2 linked regions of the Canis lupus familiaris genome follow. The protein of the gene in region 2 interacts with the protein of the main gene of each other region in a biochemical or structural test. Links are inferred from orthologs where the notes say so. Each region holds a gene or a part of one and is shown on either strand. Other genes may lie near its edges.

Region 1 (3,500 bases), on a different chromosome or scaffold from region 2:
CCACTCCTGTCCAGGTTCCTAAATTCTAGAGAGCACAGGATATTGCTCACAAAGGAATCCAAAGTGCGTCAGACATTCACCTTCAAGGGATTGGACATACTAGCCTTCCTGTGGCAGCAATAGGAGAGCCACCTTGGAGAAATGGGACCCATCCCACTTAGGGCTGCTGAGTGATTGCAAACACTCATTTTGCTCTTCTGTGGTTGAGAGGTTTCTGGCCTCCTGCCCTGAGGCTGTAACCACTGTTTGCCTTGCTCCTGTGATTGTACTTGACCTTTTGCATGTATGCTATGCCACCTGCCACAACACTTCCAGACACTGCCACCCTGACGGCTCCCCTGAAAGAAGAATCTCTCCTCTGTTTCTTCTTTTCCACAGTAAGGATTATTTGCCTGGATATTGAGGGGGGTCCTGGGAGCTGGCTGTGTTGACGCTGCTCTCTGCTGCTGCTAGCCTGGCTCCACACCACCCAGATCACAAGCACCTCTGGGCATTAAGGGGGCCCACTGATCTCCCAGCCTGGGTGTGAGCCCAAGGCTTCCCAGCTCTGGTCCCCCAGTGCCTGAAGGGGTTCCTGTCTTCCTGGCACATCATCTGTCCCTGCAGTTCTTTCCTAGTGACATCCCTCACATAGCTGCCAGCAGGCGGCCACTTCCCGCAGTGAGTCACTCCCACACTGTCCCATTTTGGTGCAGTGGCACATTTCCATGATTCAGGTTTTCCAACTGCAAGAAAGACTTCTCCTGGAGGGAAGGAACAAAGTGGGTGCGTCAGGGGAACGCTCACTTGCCTTGTCTGAAAACTGCCTAGAGCATGTTTGGTTCAGAGGCCCCAGCCCCCTCCTTTGTCTCTTCCTGTTCTCTACTGACCAAAGTCCCTCTTTCCCTTTGGGTCGTTTCTTCTCCCCTTCCCCTTCCTCTTCCCCTTCCCCTTCCCCTTCCCCTTCCCATCACTCTGGCATCTCACCAAGACTCTCTGGTTTTATCTCATCCAATAGATGGTTTCATGAAGGCCTCTCGCGACACCAGGCTGAGAACTTACTTATGGGCAAGGAGGTTGGTTTCTTCATCATCCGGGCCAGCCAGAGCTCTCCAGGGGATTTCTCCATCTCCGTCAGGTACGATCATTCCCGGCTCAGACTGCTAAAGCCATGAGGTGACCCCTTGAATGTGACCTATTGCTCAGAAGCATGGCGGCCAAGGGGCCCAGGCATCTTATCAGCTGGAAGCAATTCATCTCCTTCCTGTGACCCATGTATATACCTCCTCAGTACGCTGGCTTGTGGCCAAGTTATGTATATGTCCATCTGCCTCCCCCTCTAGCCTAAGTGCTTCTGGAAGGACAGGATCTTTTTTTTTTTTTTTTAAGATACTATTTATTTATTCATGAGAGACAGAGAGGCAGAGACACAGGCAGAGGGAGAAGCAGGCTCCCTGTGGGGAGCCCCATGTGGGACTCGATCCCAGGACCCCAGGATCATGCCTTGAGCAGAAGGCAGATGCTCAACCACTGAGCCACCCAGGTGCCCCTGGAAGGACAGGATCTTAATCTATTTCATCTTTGTGCCTTTAACAGCACCTTATACCCAGTGGGCATTCGATGAGTATTTGTGCAAAGAAGTAGGACAAGAGAAGGAATGGAGAATCCTCAATTGTCCACATCTGTCTTAGGGTTTAAATCTGAACTTCTTCTTCTACTACTGATACATATCTGAAGAAGGCTCAGAGGAAAATTAAAATCTCAAGTCATTGCTGTAGTCACAAGTCATTTGTGGTTGCACAAAAAGAAGGGCCAGCTCCGTGCACTGTAATGCAGCAAACTGACAGCAACAGATCAGAGCCGAGGGGGTTGAGGTGAGGGACCGTAGCAGCAAAATCTCATTAATGTGAAGCACCCAGGAGGAAGTGAGTCAGTCCAGACACAAGCATGACACAGCCCCACGCTCAGAAACCCCAAGTCTGAGTGCACTGTGTGTGGTCAGCACGTCTGGGATTGCAAGTCACATACCAGGCATGGTGACCACATGTGAAAGTGTGCAAATTAACGCTGATACCTGCACATGAGGAGCCGTGGAAACCTGTACAGTGGAGCCTACTGTCGGTTCATTGACAGGAAATATTGGTCTGGATCATTCAATACATTTTGAAAGGCATGCAGCTTTAGTGCTTTAAGTTCATAAATCCAATCTTGCGTAATAACTGAGAGGCCACTTTACTATTTAGAAAGAATGGGTATTTTTGCATTGGGCTCCCTGCATGGAGTCTGCTTCTCCCTCTGCCTAGGTCTTTGCCTCTTTCTCTCTGTGTCTAACATGTATAAATAAATAAAATCTTAAAAAAAAAGAAAGAATGAGTACTTTTTTTTAAAGATTTTATTTATTTATTCATGAGAAACACACAGAGAGAGGCAGAGAACAGGCAGAGGGAAAAGAAGCAGGCTCCATGCAGGGAGCCTAACATGGGACTTGATGCCAGGTCTCCAGGATCACACCCTGGGCTGAAGGTGGCGCTAAACCACTGAGCCACCTGGGCTGCCTGGAAGAATGGGTATTTTAAGGAATAGGTAGGAAGGACTTACAAATAGGGGTCAACCATTTGTATGCACCTGCGCCTCTAAAGCGCTCAAAAGTAGCTTGGTCTCATTAGCATTGTCCTTGCAATCTTGCTTAAAATCTTAATTTTCCTTAACTAAAACTTGTTTTTTTTTCATAGGTTAGGCAATAGGAAATTTTAGGTCAGGCCAATAGTGATGGATCACAAATTCTAAATTTGTTAGGTCTTAATGCAACTTTGCTCTATTTAATAAATTTTATAGTCAAACCTCTTTCTTAAGGGCCCTGGTTACAGATTGGACTAGGTAAATGGCTACATTGAAGGGCATTCCTTGGTGCCTTTGGTTTGCATGAAGTGCACTCTGGCTTTTCAACTAGGAATTATGGTTTATATTTCCTCCATGATGGTGAATTCTCCAAAAGGGTCAGCCTTGACTTCTGCCACAGTCTCTCCCTGCTGTTGAGGCATTGCAGCTTCTTGTGATTATTACCATAATCATTACTACGTCTCTTGCAGAAACGTAGACTAATATATTCCAAAGCAAATCATTTTTATTTATTTATACATCTGCTTTCTGTCATGCAAAGATAATTAAGAGCTAATTGTAGTTCTAACATTTAGCATTTGTTAAGGGTCTGAAACACTAGACTTTAGAGTCTGAAGCCCTGAGTTATATCCTTTTCTCTGCTCCTCTTGGAACTTGAGACAGTGGTGCAGCCCAGATGAGAGAGCCCAGCTCTTTCCACAGGCCCAGGTGACTGGCTGCAAACCTGACATCCAGCCTCTCAGTTCATGAGAGAGAGAGAGGGTTAATGTTTCTCACTCTGAGTTCTTTGACTAAGAGGTGGTGGATGAATAATTATATCACAAGAATATTTCCTCCTCCACACACAGATGTGAGGAGTAATGACTAGGAATTAAACCATGTGTTGTTAGAATGAAGAAAGC
Region 2 (4,167 bases):
GCAGATGTAGTACCTATCTCATAAACCTGTTGTAATGATTGAATGAAATAATACACATTCCTTTATTTGGGACTTTTCATTTTCTTGGTCCTTGCTAAGACCATCTTTTTTTGCTGATTCTCGTCCTCGGTTATACCACATTAACTTGTGAGCCCAAGAGCCAGGCTTCTCTCCTACGGGTATTTTCTGATCTTAGGGGGTCTAGGCTAGTGCTAGGTATCTTTTGAGAGACCCAACCAACCATGTAAAAGAATCCATCACGCCCCTATAACCACCACCTGTGTTGCAAACGTACCGTCCTGCAGTTTCTTTTTTTTTTTTTTTAATTTTTTTTAAACTTTTATTTATTTATGATAGGCACACAGTGAGAGAGAGAGAGAAGCAGAGACACAGGCAGAGGGAGAAGCAGGCTCCATGCACCGGGAGCCCGACGTGGGATTCGATCCCGGGTCTCCAGGATCGCGCCCTGGGCCAAAGGCAGGCGCCAAACCGCTGCGCCACCCAGGGATCCCCCGTCCTGCAGTTTCTTCCGAGGACCTACCGAGGTCTACGGGATTCCGGGGCTGCGCCTCTGAAAACAAATAGCCTGTCTCCCTCCGTCCTCTCCTCTCACACACACAACATTCTTTATAGAAGAACTAAATAAACCACTGTCTCCCAGAAATGTTGAAATAAAGTTAGTTAGCGTCTTTACCAGAACGTTCAGGAAGCTGTGAGAAGAGACAGGATTTGAAAGGAGTCAAGATTTCTGGAGAAGTCTTTCTAGGATGTGCGGCATCAAGTTCTTGAATGAGAATTACGTGAGCAACAGATGCTGGCAGAGGGTGCACCAGGACTCACCGCTGAGTCCGCGCGGTTAAACATGCCCTTCACTATCCAAGGGGTGACTCACAAAATCAACTTGGATTCTACCACTGGGTGTAGATCCCCTCGGACGAGAGGCCAGTTTCACTGGAGGCGCGGGCCCCCAGGAGTAAATCTGTATCTAAGGAGGCATACATTCGCTTTTGAAAACACTTTTCACTAAAACACCATTGGCTCCATATGCCGGGACAAATGTGCCATTTCTCCTTTGCAGAGGGCAAGGCCAAAGAGTCAGCGGGTGAGCGGGGCGGGGGAAGGTTCTGGGCCCCGAGGAGGGCGGCAGCGGGGACCCCGGGGGGGGGGGGGGGGAGGTTCTGGGCCCCGAGGAGGGCGCAGCGGGGACCCCGGGGGGGGGGGGCGGGGGAGGTTCTGGGCCCCGAGGAGGGCGCAGCGGGGACCCCGGGGGGCGGGGGAAGGTTCTGGGCCCCGAGGAGGGCGCAGCGGGGACCCCGGGGGGGGGGCGGGGGAGGTTCTGGGCCCCGAGGAGGGCGCAGCGGGGACCCCGGGGGGGGGGGCGGGGGAGGTTCTGGGCCCCGAGGAGGGCGCAGCGGGGACCCCGGGGGGCGGGGGAAGGTTCTGGGCCCCGAGGAGGGCGCAGCGGGGACCCCGGGGGGGGGGGCGGGGGAGGTTCTGGGCCCCAGGAGGGCGCAGCGGGGACCCCGGGGGGGGGCGGGGATGGTTCTGGGCCCCGAGGAGGGCGCAGCGGGGACCCCGGGGGAGGCGGGGGAGGTTCTGGGCCCCGAGGAGGGCGCAGCGGGGACCCCGGGGGGGGGCGGGGATGGTTCTGGGCCCCGAGGAGGGCGCAGCGGGGACCCCGGGGGGCGGGGGAAGGTTCTGGGCCCCGAGGAGGGCGCAGCGGGGACCCCGGGGGGGGCGGGGGAGGTTCTGGGCCCCGAGGAGGGCGCAGCGGGGACCCCGGGGGGGGCGGGGGAGGTTCTGGGCCCCGAGGAGGGCGGCAGCGGGGACCCCGGGGGGCGGGGGAAGGTTCTGGGCCCCGAGGAGGGCGCAGCGGGGACCCCGGGGGGGGCGGGGGAGGTTCTGGGCCCCGAGGAGGGCGCAGCGGGGACCCCGGGGGGGGCGGGGGAGGTTCTGGGCCCCGAGGAGGGCGCAGCGGGGACCCCGGGGGGGGCGGGGGAGGTTCTGGGCCCCGAGGAGGGCGGCAGCGGGGACCCCGGGGGGGGCGGGGGAGGTTCTGGGCCCCGAGGAGGGCGCAGCGGGGACCCCGGGGGGGGGCAGGTTCTGGGCCCCGAGGAGGGCGCGGGTGGCAAGGCTGGTTCTTTCCAGGAATGCTCTCGGAGCAGCTAAACAGCGCAGCGCCTCCTCCGCAGGTTGTGTCGGTGCCGCCGCCGCCGCGTCGGGATCCCGGCGGCCCGGGCGAGGCCGTCCAAGGCGGAGACCCCGCGGCCTCGGCTGCCCCCCCGCCCCGCCCCGCCCCGCCCCGCCCCGCCGGAGAGCGCGCCCGAGGCGCCCAAACGCCCGCAGCCCGGCCCCCCGACGGCCCTGGAGGCGGACCCCAGGCGCCCGGCCGCCCCTCGTCCCCGGTCCCCTCCGCCCCCCCCGGCCCGAAGGCCGCCGCCCTCGTCCCCCGCGGGTCCGCGACGCCGGTTCCTCGGCCGTCCCGGCGCGGCCGTCCGAGCTCCGCGGGCCTGGGCTGCGGTCCGGGCGGGGGGCAGAGGGCGGGGGCGCCCCCTCGGCTGTGCCCCCAGGGGGTGGGGGCGGCGGCAGGTCGGGGGTCCGGGCGCCCCGGGGCGCTGGGCTGCGGGCGGGGGCGGGGCGGGGCGGGGCGGGGGGCCCGGGCGGCGCGGCCGCTGCACTTACGTAGCGCTTCAGCTTCTTCTCCGGCGGGGACTTGCGGAGCCAGCCCGAGCAGACCACCTCGCCGCCGCTCATGGTGCGCGCCGCCCGCAGGACCTCGGCGGCCCCAGGCGGCGGGGCGGGCGGGCGGGGCGCGTGCGGGGCCGGGGCCGGGGCCGGGGCCGGGGCCGGGGCTGCGGGGCCTCGTCAGCGCGCCCGTCCCGCCGGCGCCCGGAGCGCTCCTGCCCGCGGACCCGGGCTCTGCCGCGCGCGCTCCGCCCCCGGAACGGGCCTCCCCGGGCGCCGGCCCAGGACGACGCCGCCCGCGCTCCCCCGCGCCCGCGGCCCGGCCCCGGCGGCGCCCCCCGGCTCGGCCCCCGGCTCGGCTGCGCCCGGCGTCGGGAGGCGGAGGCCCGGGGCGGCGGGGGCGGCGGGGGCGGCGGGGGCGGCGGGCAGGTCCGGGGGCGGCGGGGGCGGCGGGGGCGGCGGGCGGGCGCGGGGCAGGGTCCGGCGCGTCGCGCTCTCGGGGGCTGCCGTCCGCGGCCCGGGCGCTGCAGACTTTCTGAGAAACTCCGCCGCCGCACTCGCGGCCACAACAAGGGCCGGGGGCGGAGGGGGCGGAGGGAGCGGCGGGGCGGGCGGGGGGCGGCGTCCGAGAGGCACCCTGGGAGGTGTAGTCCGGGCGGCCGCGCGGGCCCTGGGCGGCGGGGGCGGCGGCCCGACTGCGCGGCGCGGCGGCAGCGGCACTTCCAGCCCGCGGGGAGGCCGCCCGGACTCCGGGGGCGCCCTCCTCGCCAGCCTCGGGGCGGCGCGGCCCGCGGGGAGGCCGAGCCCGGGGCGGGGGGGGCGGGGCGGGGCGGGATGCTGGGGCGGGCCCGGGTGGGGGGGCCGGCGGGGGGAGGGGCGGCCTCGCGGCTGCGGGGCGGGCGGGCGCGGGGGGCTGAGGGCCGAGCCCGGGGTCGAGGGGCAGGCCCGCGTGGGCGAGGGCGGCGCTTCGGCGCTTCGGCGCTTCGGCCCGGCCCCCCGCCCCGGCGCCCTCCCCCCGCGGGGCGGCTGCTCGCGGACCCCCGGAGCGCGGTGTCGGCCCCGAGGCTCTGCCCGCGCGCGCCGGGGGGGGGGGGGGGGGGGGCGGCACCCGGTCCGCAGCCCCGCGCTGCCCTGTCGTGGAAACGCTCTTTCCCGTTTGTTTCTGGAAAACCAAGGCCCAGGACAATCCTCACAAGGTAACAGAATCAGGGAAAGTCTGAAAGCGTCGGCGGGGAGCTGCCGGGCCGCTTGTGGCCCGCGCAGCCTTCGCCTCCCGGCGGCCCCGGGACCCGACCGCGACCGCGACCCCCCGACCCGAACGCGAGGGCCCGCCGAGCGCCCGCGGCCGCGACGCTGTGCCCGAGGGAAGCACGCGGGAGGCGGAGAGCGCCCGGGTCGCGGGGTCCCGGAGGCGCTGGGGACGCCGCGCGGGCCTGGGGGACAGCCTGGGCCAGGGCAGACGGAACCAGCGACCGGCGGGAC

What was found.
Region 1: the proteins of GAB1 (region 2) and GRAP2 form a complex in vitro, tested with the Homo sapiens proteins (2 studies listed by BioGRID and IntAct, with this or other methods). The link is inferred for Canis lupus familiaris from reciprocal best matches to the Homo sapiens genes GAB1 and GRAP2.

The regions. Positions count from the first base shown.
Region 1 is NC_049231.1:26,125,560-26,129,059, reverse strand, and holds part of GRAP2 (GRB2-related adapter protein 2), read left to right. Parts: intron 1-997; coding exon 998-1,117; intron 1,118-3,500. UniProt on the Homo sapiens protein: Interacts with SLP-76 to regulate NF-AT activation. Binds to tyrosine-phosphorylated shc.
Region 2 is NC_049240.1:839,956-844,122, forward strand, and holds the start of GAB1 (GRB2-associated-binding protein 1), read right to left. Parts: upstream 2,801-4,167; 5' UTR 2,755-2,800; coding exon 2,683-2,754; intron 1-2,682. UniProt on the Homo sapiens protein: Adapter protein that plays a role in intracellular signaling cascades triggered by activated receptor-type kinases. Plays a role in FGFR1 signaling. Probably involved in signaling by the epidermal growth factor receptor (EGFR) and the insulin receptor (INSR).